Linked DNA regions of Schizosaccharomyces pombe. The protein of the gene in region 1 binds, or shares a complex with, the protein of each later gene. Each region holds a gene or a part of one and is shown in the gene's direction. Other genes may lie near its edges. The genes, in order: cut7 and nda3.

Region 1 (6,536 bases):
TTCTTTCTTTTCGGTATCAAAATCTAAGTCGTAAAACTCCAAATCATATTGAGTAGAGGAACCAAGGGTTGCAGCAACCATAAATCTACCCTTAGGCGCCATAAAAAGTGAATTGCATGTTTTCTTATCAAAAGTAATGATATGACGGAAAGTACTAGGGGTGTTCTTTTTCTGCTCAAAACCATAAAACGATAAATTAGTTTTTACATTTGTAGAATTTAAAACTTGATCATTAGCTGAAATTATGGCAAAACGATCACTCTTAGGTTCCCAGGCAAAATTGAGAACAACATCCTTAAGATCCACTACTTCAACGGGAATATTTTTCTCACGAATTCGGAATATTTCAAGGTTAGAGAATGTTGATTTCTTAGTTTTTGTGTGACGATCAACCTTAACACATAAATAATCACCATTAGACTGCCAGTACAACTTACAGTCGGAAACATTGAAAAGATTTTTCGTACGGATAGTTGATTTTGAAGGAATACTAATTAAGGCAACGCGAGCAGGTTGATTGGTAATTTCAGGGGTCCAGTAAGCTAAAAGCTGCTCCTTGGAATCACGTCCGAGAGCATCTGAAACTGGGCACCATTCAAAATTTTGCACACCGTCGATCTTGATAGTTTTCTTGTCAACCAAAGCAAGGGAGGGTGTCTCATAAACAGAAATCGACTGACCAACAGTAACGCGAGCAAGGTATTTATCATCGGCAGACCACTTGAAAATAGGCCAAATAACTTTTTTGCCATCCTTTGAACCTTCTGGTTGAGGAGGAATCTTAAAAGAACGAAGAATACGACCAGAGGCAATATCCCAAACGAAGCAATGTTTTCCTTCATCATCATCAGTGAAAGGCATTGTTTCACGAGCCGGATGTCCGATGGGAGGAAGTCGAACAGGCTCATAGGACCATGAAACAAGATACTTCTCGTTAGGGCTGAAGTCGACAAATTTTACGTAGGGGTGCAAGAAACGAGCACACATTCCCCAAGATTCCCCACCCCATAATTGAATACCACGAAGATGAAGTGATACGAGGTAAGTGCCCATGGGAGACCATTGCACGTAGGTCTCGGTCCAGTTTTCACGATCCACAATCTGTTCAGGGACGTCGCTCTTACGGTTCCAGTTAACAGATACACGGTTACCGTAATAGCTGATAAATTGATCACGACCATAGTAATCAGTTAACCAGCTACGCAAATGTTCGCGCTCCTTAAATTCACGTTCTTCGAAACTAAATTCATCAGGAGTGCTAAAAGCTTTTTCGAGTTGATTCAACTTACGAACAACGAAAGTATGGTTTTTTAAAATTTGCTTTCCATCCAACTCTTGAACGCAAAGATCGGCGCCATCAACATTTTCAAAATCGGCGAAAACTAGTCCAAGAGACATCTTTTTTCCATTTTTTTCCTCAAATGGCATATAAAATCCATTTTCCTTAACCTTTCCAATTTTAGCAAGGACTTTTGAGCTCAAAAAACGGAAGAAATCTTGCTGCTTAGCTTCTTCGACAACTGGAGCACCTTCGATTACTACAACCGTGTCATATCCAACAGGTTTAGTTACATTAAGCTTAACTTCCAGTTCAGAAACATCGATTTCCTCGTCCTTTACGACGATTTGATCCTTAATTTCCTCAATTAGGATTTCCGACATTTCTGGTGTAGTGCCGTTGTCTCTAGTCAAGTTTCTTCACCCAGTGACTGGGGGGACATCGAAGAGTAACTTTAGAGAAATTTAAAAAAAATTGAAAGTAATGAAAAGTAGAATTTAAAAAACATGGTATCATTTAAAATAAACTAATAAAGTTGATTCTGTTTTATATTTCTTCTTTTTTAGATTTTAACTCATTCTACCGATTTTGACTATTATCATTACTGACAACAGTTTATCTGCCAAGTTCGTTCATTTTGTATTGATTTTTAGTATTAGCACAATTGTTGGATTTTTCATAAAAGTTCTTTTTTCTCTTTTTATACTGTTGATTTGTACTGCAAAACATTGGAATGAGACATTCCAAGTGTTACCGTGTCTGAGTCCTCGTTCTTGTTTACAACAATTCAACAACATACTCAGGAGCGACAATTGTCCAATTTATTCATTCTTTTTACCCCTAAAAACAGACGTTTACGATCTTTTCCTATTTTAAATTTACCCCTTTTTTTTATATTGTGGTTTATTGAACTTTACAACAGAATTGCAATTTAAATTAACAACCTTGTCGCTTTCTTTGTAACAATCCTTACTCATAAAACCGAATGGCCCCTAGAGTTGCACCTGGTGGCTCACAACAATTTCTAGGAAAGCAGGGGTTGAAAGCTAAAAACCCGGTTTCTACTCCAAATTCACATTTCCGCTCTGCGAGCAATCCTAGGAAACGACGTGAGCCTCCTACTATTGACACTGGGTACCCAGATCGCTCCGACACTAATTCTCCGACAGATCATGCACTTCATGATGAGAACGAAACCAATATTAACGTAGTCGTCCGTGTTCGTGGTCGTACAGACCAAGAAGTACGCGACAATAGTAGCCTTGCTGTATCGACTTCGGGCGCTATGGGTGCTGAATTGGCCATCCAGTCGGATCCTTCATCCATGTTGGTCACGAAGACGTATGCCTTTGATAAAGTCTTTGGTCCTGAAGCTGACCAGTTAATGCTATTCGAAAATTCGGTAGCGCCCATGCTGGAGCAAGTATTGAACGGCTATAATTGTACTATATTTGCGTACGGACAAACTGGAACCGGTAAAACATATACTATGTCTGGTGATCTTAGCGATTCCGATGGAATTTTGTCTGAAGGAGCAGGCCTTATTCCTCGTGCCCTTTATCAATTATTTTCCTCCTTGGACAACAGTAATCAAGAATATGCTGTCAAATGCTCCTATTATGAACTTTACAACGAGGAAATTCGCGATCTTTTGGTTTCCGAAGAATTGCGAAAGCCAGCTCGTGTTTTTGAAGATACTTCGCGGAGAGGGAACGTTGTTATTACTGGTATTGAAGAAAGTTATATAAAAAATGCTGGCGATGGGTTGCGATTGTTACGTGAAGGCTCTCACCGGCGTCAAGTTGCTGCTACAAAGTGTAACGATCTTTCATCTCGTAGTCATTCAATCTTCACGATAACTCTGCATAGAAAGGTATCTTCGGGAATGACAGATGAAACTAATTCACTTACCATAAATAATAACTCTGATGACTTGCTGCGCGCCAGCAAACTTCATATGGTTGATTTGGCTGGAAGCGAGAACATTGGACGTTCTGGAGCTGAAAACAAACGTGCTCGAGAAACTGGAATGATCAATCAATCACTATTAACATTAGGCCGAGTAATTAATGCATTAGTGGAAAAGGCCCACCATATTCCATACCGTGAGTCCAAGCTTACACGCCTATTGCAGGATTCTTTGGGGGGAAAGACTAAAACCTCTATGATCGTTACCGTATCTTCTACTAATACTAATTTGGAAGAAACAATTTCTACTTTGGAGTATGCTGCTCGTGCTAAAAGTATACGCAATAAGCCTCAAAATAATCAGCTTGTCTTTCGAAAAGTCCTTATAAAAGACTTAGTGTTAGATATCGAACGATTGAAAAATGACCTTAATGCCACCCGTAAAAAGAACGGAGTTTATCTTGCTGAAAGCACGTATAAGGAGCTTATGGATCGTGTTCAAAACAAAGATTTGTTATGCCAGGAACAGGCTCGCAAACTTGAAGTGCTGGACTTAAACGTTAAAAGTTCGAGGGAACAACTGCAGTATGTTTCTAAATCTAATCAAGAACATAAAAAGGAAGTTGAAGCTCTGCAACTGCAACTGGTTAATTCATCTACAGAGTTAGAAAGTGTAAAGTCTGAGAACGAAAAGCTGAAAAATGAACTAGTTTTAGAAATCGAAAAACGAAAAAAATACGAAACCAATGAAGCTAAAATTACAACTGTTGCAACAGACCTTTCCCAATATTACCGAGAATCAAAAGAATACATTGCTAGCTTATATGAGAAGCTTGATCGCACTGAACGAAATAATAAAGAAAATGAAAACAATTTTTGGAATCTTAAGTTCAATTTGTTAACGATGTTGAGATCTTTTCATGGAAGTTTTACTGATGAAACAAATGGCTATTTTACTTTGTTGAATGATTTTAATGCTTCAATGGAAGAATTATTGAACACCCACAGTAATCAACTGCTGATTTCTATGACCAAAATTACTGAGCATTTTCAGAGTTTAGATGAGGCGTTGCAAAGTGCTCGTTCTTCTTGTGCAGTACCTAATTCTAGCTTAGACCTAATTGTTTCTGAATTAAAGGATTCCAAAAACAGCCTTCTTGATGCGTTGGAGCACAGTCTGCAGGATATTAGCATGTCTTCCCAGAAGTTGGGAAATGGAATTTCTTCGGAATTGATAGAATTGCAGAAAGACATGAAAGAATCATACCGACAACTTGTTCAGGAATTAAGATCACTATATAATTTACAGCATACTCATGAAGAATCACAGAAGGAGCTAATGTATGGTGTGCGTAACGATATTGATGCTCTGGTTAAAACTTGCACAACATCTTTGAACGATGCAGATATAATATTAAGTGATTACATATCTGATCAAAAATCCAAATTTGAATCCAAGCAACAAGATTTGATTGCTAATATTGGTAAAATTGTTTCAAATTTTTTACAGGAACAGAACGAATCTTTGTATACCAAAGCGGATATCTTACATTCACATCTCAATGATACAAACTCGAATATAAGGAAAGCAAACGAAATTATGAATAACCGTTCAGAAGAGTTTTTACGGAATGCGGCTTCACAAGCAGAAATCGTGGGTGCCAATAAAGAAAGGATTCAAAAGACAGTTGAAAATGGATCTCAACTGCTTGACAGTAAAAGCAAGGCCATTCATAGCAATTCCAGATCAATGTATGACCATTGCTTGGCTTTAGCGGAGTCTCAAAAACAAGGTGTTAATCTTGAAGTTCAAACGCTGGATCGTTTGTTGCAGAAAGTAAAAGAGCATTCAGAAGATAATACCAAGGAGAAGCATCAACAATTACTTGATTTATTGGAATCCCTTGTTGGCAACAATGACAATCTTATCGATTCCATCAAGACACCGCACACTGAATTACAGAAAATTACAGATCATGTTTTAAAGGGAACGACATCACTTGCTAATCATACTAATGAATTACTTGGTTTAGGAGATGAATCTCTATGTAACCTTGAAACTACTATAGAAGACACGTCTTTGGTGAAGCTGGAAACAACTGGCGATACACCTTCCAAACGAGAACTTCCTGCCACTCCATCTTGGACACGAGATTCGTCTTTAATTAAGGAAACTACGAATTTAAATTTAGATTCGGATAAGAAATTCGTTAGGGAAACCTACACATCGTCTAATCAAACTAATGAGCCGGACGTATATGATAAACCATCTAATTCATCAAGAACTAGTCTTTTGCGGAGTAGCAGAAGTGCCTATTCCAAAATGAAACGATAATGACACGATTTTATTAATTTATACTTAATGGACGAAAATACAATAGAAATGTATTACATCTTGGGGCTTTGGCTGGTTAAAACGGAAAGTTTGGTTATGTGTGTACATACTGCGTTTTAAATAATAGTTTTAGGAGTTGTATACATATAAAGATTAATTTAGATAGAAGTTTAATGATATACAGACGAGGTTAATCGATATACAAGGACTCTGGAAAAGGGGTGATACATTAGCTATGTTCTTACTTTTACAATATTCGAAAGCAATATACAAGACTGATAAAATCTTTGAAGCTACAGATATGGCGTCAAAAAGCAAATTGAATCGTAAAAGGTGTAACGAGATTATATTTTTTGCAAAGATGCTCTTAACAACAATGGGCCAAAGCAGCTTTAACGCAATCTTCTGGCCTCACGCTCTGATTCAAGAAGAACCAAGATGTCATCTTCACGAACAGGTCCCTTAACGTTACGAATGATAGAACGAGAAGTGTCATCCATAAATTCGACACGGACTTGGGTGACTCCACCACTACAGAGAAGTTAGTAATCATTGCTTGCTGGATATACAAAAGCGAGGAATAATTAGAATCTTTTATGTTTATTCGTTTAACACAAATCAATTTATGTGAATACAATATGTTGAATTTAACAATAAACTGACAAGTTTCCCAAACTTACCGAGAACCGGTGCGACCGAGCACTTTAATGACCTTTGCCAATTTAACAGGAACCTTAGAAGAATCCATTATCCTCTTGATATGTATAAGAGTGCGTGGTGTTTAGGAAGAATGTATAATGCACCGCCTAAAATTATGGGGAACATTGTGACTGCTTTTTCGACATTGGTGGTGGTAGTTAGTAAACGGTACATACCGATGCGTGCGTGAATTGACTGTAACGCCATAGCGTACAAGTAATCCGTTACTAATAATTAGAATGGATTTGGTTAACCACTTGGAAGATCGGTTACTTTTTGCTGTTCCCAAAAGTAAGTGAAGCTTTTAAAGAAGCA
Region 2 (4,286 bases), on another chromosome or scaffold:
TAACCCAGATGATGAGGAAGAGTTTGTGATGGAAGAAGACAACCTTGGAGAGGCCCCTTTATTAGTTGACTCCGAGTCTTATGAGGCATCAGTGAAGGCAGATACCTCTAGAAAGGCATATGATAAGGAGTTCAAAAAAGTTGTTGAAGCGTCAGATGTGATTCTTTACGTTCTTGACGCTCGTGATCCTGAAGGGACTCGTTCAAAAGACGTTGAACGTCAAGTTTTAGCATCTTCTGCTGAAGAAAAGCGTCTTATTTTCGTTATCAACAAAATTGACTTAGTACCATCAGAAGTACTCAACAAGTGGGTTACCTATCTCCGCAATTTCTTTCCTACGATTCCTATGCGTTCCGCTTCAGGATCTGGAAACTCAAATTTAAAGCACCAGTCGGCTTCTGCTAGTTCCACTATCTCCAATCTTCTTAAATCACTCAAGTCTTACTCAGCCAAGAAGAAGCTTAAAAGCTCTCTTACAGTCGGTGTAATTGGATACCCCAACGTTGGTAAATCATCTGTTATTAACGCTCTTGTCAACCGTTCTGCGAATGGTCGTTCTGCACCTTGTCCTGCCGGAAACGTTGCCGGAATGACTACTTCTTTGCGAGAGGTGAAGCTAGATAACAAATTACGTTTGGTCGATAGTCCTGGTATTGTTTTTCCTTCTAGTGATTCTAAAGACGATTTGTATCGTCTTGTAATGCTTAATGCTGTTTCATCCACCAAAGTTGATGATCCCGTTGCCGTTGCTTCTTACATTTTGCAATTCCTTAGCAGAGTTCCAGGACAATTGGAAAGAATGTTTCAAAGATATGAGCTTCCTCCTCTATTGAATACATCCGATATAGACACTGCTACTGATTTTTTAGTCAATATTGCTCGTAAGCGTGGTCGTCTAGGTCGCGGTGGAATTCCAAATCTTAACGCTGCTGCCAATATTGTCATTAATGACTGGCATGCTGGTCGTATCGAATGGTGGGCCGAGCCTGAGGTTATAAACGAAAAGAACTCATCTGAAGTTCAGGATACTCAAATCGTTACTGAGTGGGCCAAAGAATTTGACCTTAATGATTTTTGAGAGTTTTCAACTTACGAAAAAAGCTATTGTTGCTTAGAGCTTATATTTTGGGATTTGGTTTTCGGTTGCGGTTTTTCTTCGGGTTTTAAAAATCTTTAGGTGTTGATGGTTACTAGCTATTACTTTTTGAATTAATATATAAATAATTTTTTTTGCATATATGCCGTATTCTTGAATGTGTTGTTTTACATTTACTTGTAAAAGTAATGTTTGATATGGGAGAAGTTTTAAGTAATAGGTTCGCTAATACGGGAAATTATTAAATCAATGCATGCTGGCTTAAATAAAGTCAATTGAATATGTACGGAAAATGACATTGATACTAACGTGCAGTTATAAGTTTCATTTCATTTTTATATCAATTGATAGGATAAACACAAACAATTCTAACCATACTATTTTGCGCTACTACTGAATATGGCATAATATCAAATTAATCTGTTTAGCAGTTAATAATTATGTATATAAACTAAAGAATAAATAAAGTTACATACATTACCAAAGAAAAGAAAAAAAGCTTGTATATAAAAGAAGTAAACTATTTAATAAGCAATGATTTAAGACTTGATTCTTTTCAATTAACAATCGGCTAATAAATACACAAAAATTTTTTTTAAAAGCCTACTAGTAAATAACTGCAATAAACTGTGTTTTTAGAATTTCTGAAACGTATAAAAACGATTTGGTACTTTTGGTATTCTCAATCCGTTCCTCCTAACGAAACTCACCTACCACCAAACTGATCATCAAAACAAACCACCATAAATTAGTCTAGATGCGTGAGATTGTACGAGCTATTTTAATATTCAAAGCTAATCAATAGGTTCATATTCAAGCTGGTCAATGCGGAAACCAAGTCGGTGCGGCCTTTTGGTAAGCAAAATCTACTTTGTTATAACGTTTCTCTCAACTAACGCTTGGAAGGTCTACCATTGCTGATGAGCATGGTTTGGATTCAGCTGGAATGTAGGTCTATTTTGCTTGTTTTTTTACTGACTTTTACGTAGATATCATGGAACTTCTGAGGCACAACACGAGCGATTGAACGTTTATTTTAACGAGGTAGGTTTTTTTGCTTTCTTACAAGTGTTCGGTTGCTTAAAACTTTTTGAAAAAATTTTTTTTTGTTTATTTAGTACTGACGACTGTAGGCCGCTGGTGGAAAGTATGTTCCCCGCGCAGTCCTTGTTGATTTAGAGCCCGGTACTATGGATGCCGTGAAGTCAGGAAAGTTTGGAAATCTTTTCCGCCCGGACAATATTATTTATGGACAATCTGGTGCCGGAAATATTTGGGCTAAAGGCCATTACACTGAAGGTGCTGAATTGGCCGATGCTGTTTTGGACGTTGTTCGCCGTGAAGCTGAAGCATGTGATGCTTTACAAGGTTTCCAATTAACTCACTCTTTGGGTGGTGGTACTGGATCTGGTATGGGTACTCTTTTACTTTCGAAGATTCGCGAGGAATATCCGGACCGTATGATGGCTACCTTCTCCGTTGCTCCTGCTCCTAAAAGCTCTGATACCGTTGTGGAACCTTACAATGCTACTCTTTCTATGCATCAATTGGTAGAGAACTCTGACGAAACATTTTGCATTGATAATGAGGCTCTTTCTTCAATTTTCGCTAACACGTTGAAAATCAAGAGTCCTTCATACGATGACTTGAACCATCTTGTCTCTGCTGTAATGGCTGGTGTAACCACATCTTTCCGATTCCCTGGTGAATTGAACTCTGACTTGCGTAAATTAGCTGTTAATATGGTTCCCTTCCCTCGTTTACACTTTTTCATGGTAGGATTTGCTCCTCTTGCCGCCATCGGTTCAAGCTCATTTCAAGCTGTTTCTGTGCCCGAGCTTACTCAACAAATGTTTGATGCTAATAATATGATGGTCGCCGCTGATCCTCGCCATGGCCGTTACTTAACAGTTGCCGCTCTTTTCCGTGGTAAAGTCTCAATGAAAGAAGTCGACGAGCAAATTCGCTCTGTTCAAACTAAGAATTCAGCATATTTCGTTGAGTGGATTCCCGATAATGGTATGTTTACTTGGTTTAAAACGTCGTTTGTATATTTAGTTTATTTTTTCTACTTGTTTATGCTCATCTGCTAACCTCGAAATAGTCCTCAAAGCTGTTTGTTCCGTTCCTCCTAAGGATCTCAAGATGTCTGCAACTTTTATTGGTAACAGTACTTCTATCCAAGAAATTTTCCGTCGTTTGGGTGATCAGTTTTCTGCAATGTTTAGAAGAAAAGCCTTTTTGCATTGGTATACTGGTGAAGGCATGGACGAAATGGAGTTTACTGAGGCTGAATCTAATATGAATGACTTGGTTAGCGAATATCAACAATACCAGGAGGCTGGTATCGATGAGGGTGATGAAGATTATGAAATTGAAGAAGAGAAGGAGCCTCTCGAGTATTAAACCCTTATAACCCTTTTTATAATCCAAGTGTGCCATATATTTTCAAATAGTGTTTATCTACGTTCCTTTTTTCCTACATTCATTGAAATGCTTTATTTTACTCCGATGCATATGGATTCCAAGCATCGTCTGTGCTAAACGCTCTTTACTTTTTTTCATAGCTTTGAAATGCTCCTTACACTCTAAATATAGCTTTAGCCTGGCTACCAAGGTGGAAATGTACTATAAACACGAGTAAGTCTGTAAAGTACTTTTGTAAGTCCAAACCGTACGAATTAAAGCTATTTACTATTCCCTAATATATGCTTAGATATTTGACTATTACAAAGTAAATGTATAAAGCAAGTCTAATACTTAAGTGTCAATTCCCAAAAGTAGAACCAAAAGATGCAGTGAGATTTGTAAATTCAATAAACTATTAATTTAGTTAAATTATCACCTACTGCTACGTATCGTATTTATGTTGCGTTTTGTGAAAGTAAACTCGTTTGATATACCAGTACTTATAAACGTCCACCAGTATAACAATCCGCCACTTTCTAAATTCGCCTTTGTCAACGACGAGAAATATTGAGTGGCTTCGAAAAGCCGAAATTGAAATTTACTCATATAAAAGTATATTAGGAACTTTATTTACTACATTGCAATCGCACCAAAACAATGTTTAATCGTAATTTACGTGCTGTCATTCTTAAAAATTACAATAAAGCTTTAACAAGATGTTTGCATGATGCTGGAAACCTGAAAAGGCCTACACCTCCTCGCCTTCCAAAAGAGCAGCAAG

What was found.
Region 2: the proteins of cut7 (region 1) and nda3 are in contact, whole or in part, in a cryo-EM structure (PDB 6S8M), measured with the Schizosaccharomyces pombe proteins. Residues at the interface, in NP_594527.1 of Schizosaccharomyces pombe: Glu217 (codon at 2,913), Arg233 (codon at 2,961), Val234 (codon at 2,964), Phe235 (codon at 2,967), Glu236 (codon at 2,970), Arg345 (codon at 3,297), Gln352 (codon at 3,318), Arg359 (codon at 3,339), Ala368 (codon at 3,366), His369 (codon at 3,369), His370 (codon at 3,372), Pro372 (codon at 3,378), Arg374 (codon at 3,384), Glu375 (codon at 3,387), Ser376 (codon at 3,390), Arg380 (codon at 3,402); in NP_596650.1 of Schizosaccharomyces pombe: Pro160 (codon at 2,548), Asp161 (codon at 2,551), His190 (codon at 2,638), Gln191 (codon at 2,641), Glu194 (codon at 2,650), Asn195 (codon at 2,653), Phe260 (codon at 2,848), Pro261 (codon at 2,851), Arg262 (codon at 2,854), Met406 (codon at 3,371), Glu410 (codon at 3,383), Ser413 (codon at 3,392), Asp417 (codon at 3,404), Ser420 (codon at 3,413), Glu421 (codon at 3,416), Gln424 (codon at 3,425).

Annotation. Positions count from the first base shown.
Region 1 is NC_003424.3:4,305,705-4,312,240, reverse strand, and holds cut7 (kinesin-5 family plus-end directed microtubule motor, bimC subfamily Cut7), read left to right. Parts: upstream 1-1,903; 5' UTR 1,904-2,264; coding exon 2,265-5,522; 3' UTR 5,523-5,730; downstream 5,731-6,536. Other genes in the region: tif302 (translation initiation factor eIF3b (p84)), read right to left, coding at 1-1,662; rps2801 (40S ribosomal protein eS28), read right to left, coding at 5,915-6,053, 6,203-6,270; his1 (ATP phosphoribosyltransferase), read left to right, coding at 6,461-6,512. UniProt on the Schizosaccharomyces pombe protein: Could be a spindle pole body motor. On transition from G2 to M phase of the cell cycle, the spindle pole body duplicates; the daughter pole bodies seed microtubules which interdigitate to form a short spindle that elongates to span the nucleus at metaphase.
Region 2 is NC_003423.3:3,963,492-3,967,777, reverse strand, and holds nda3 (tubulin beta Nda3), read left to right. Parts: upstream 1-1,804; 5' UTR 1,805-1,853; coding exon 1,854-1,865; intron 1,866-1,901; coding exon 1,902-1,951; intron 1,952-2,002; coding exon 2,003-2,044; intron 2,045-2,085; coding exon 2,086-2,140; intron 2,141-2,229; coding exon 2,230-3,115; intron 3,116-3,200; coding exon 3,201-3,502; 3' UTR 3,503-3,686; downstream 3,687-4,286. Other genes in the region: GTPase Grn1, read left to right, coding at 1-1,078; protein Sdh8, read left to right, coding at 4,163-4,286. UniProt on the Schizosaccharomyces pombe protein: Tubulin is the major constituent of microtubules, a cylinder consisting of laterally associated linear protofilaments composed of alpha- and beta-tubulin heterodimers.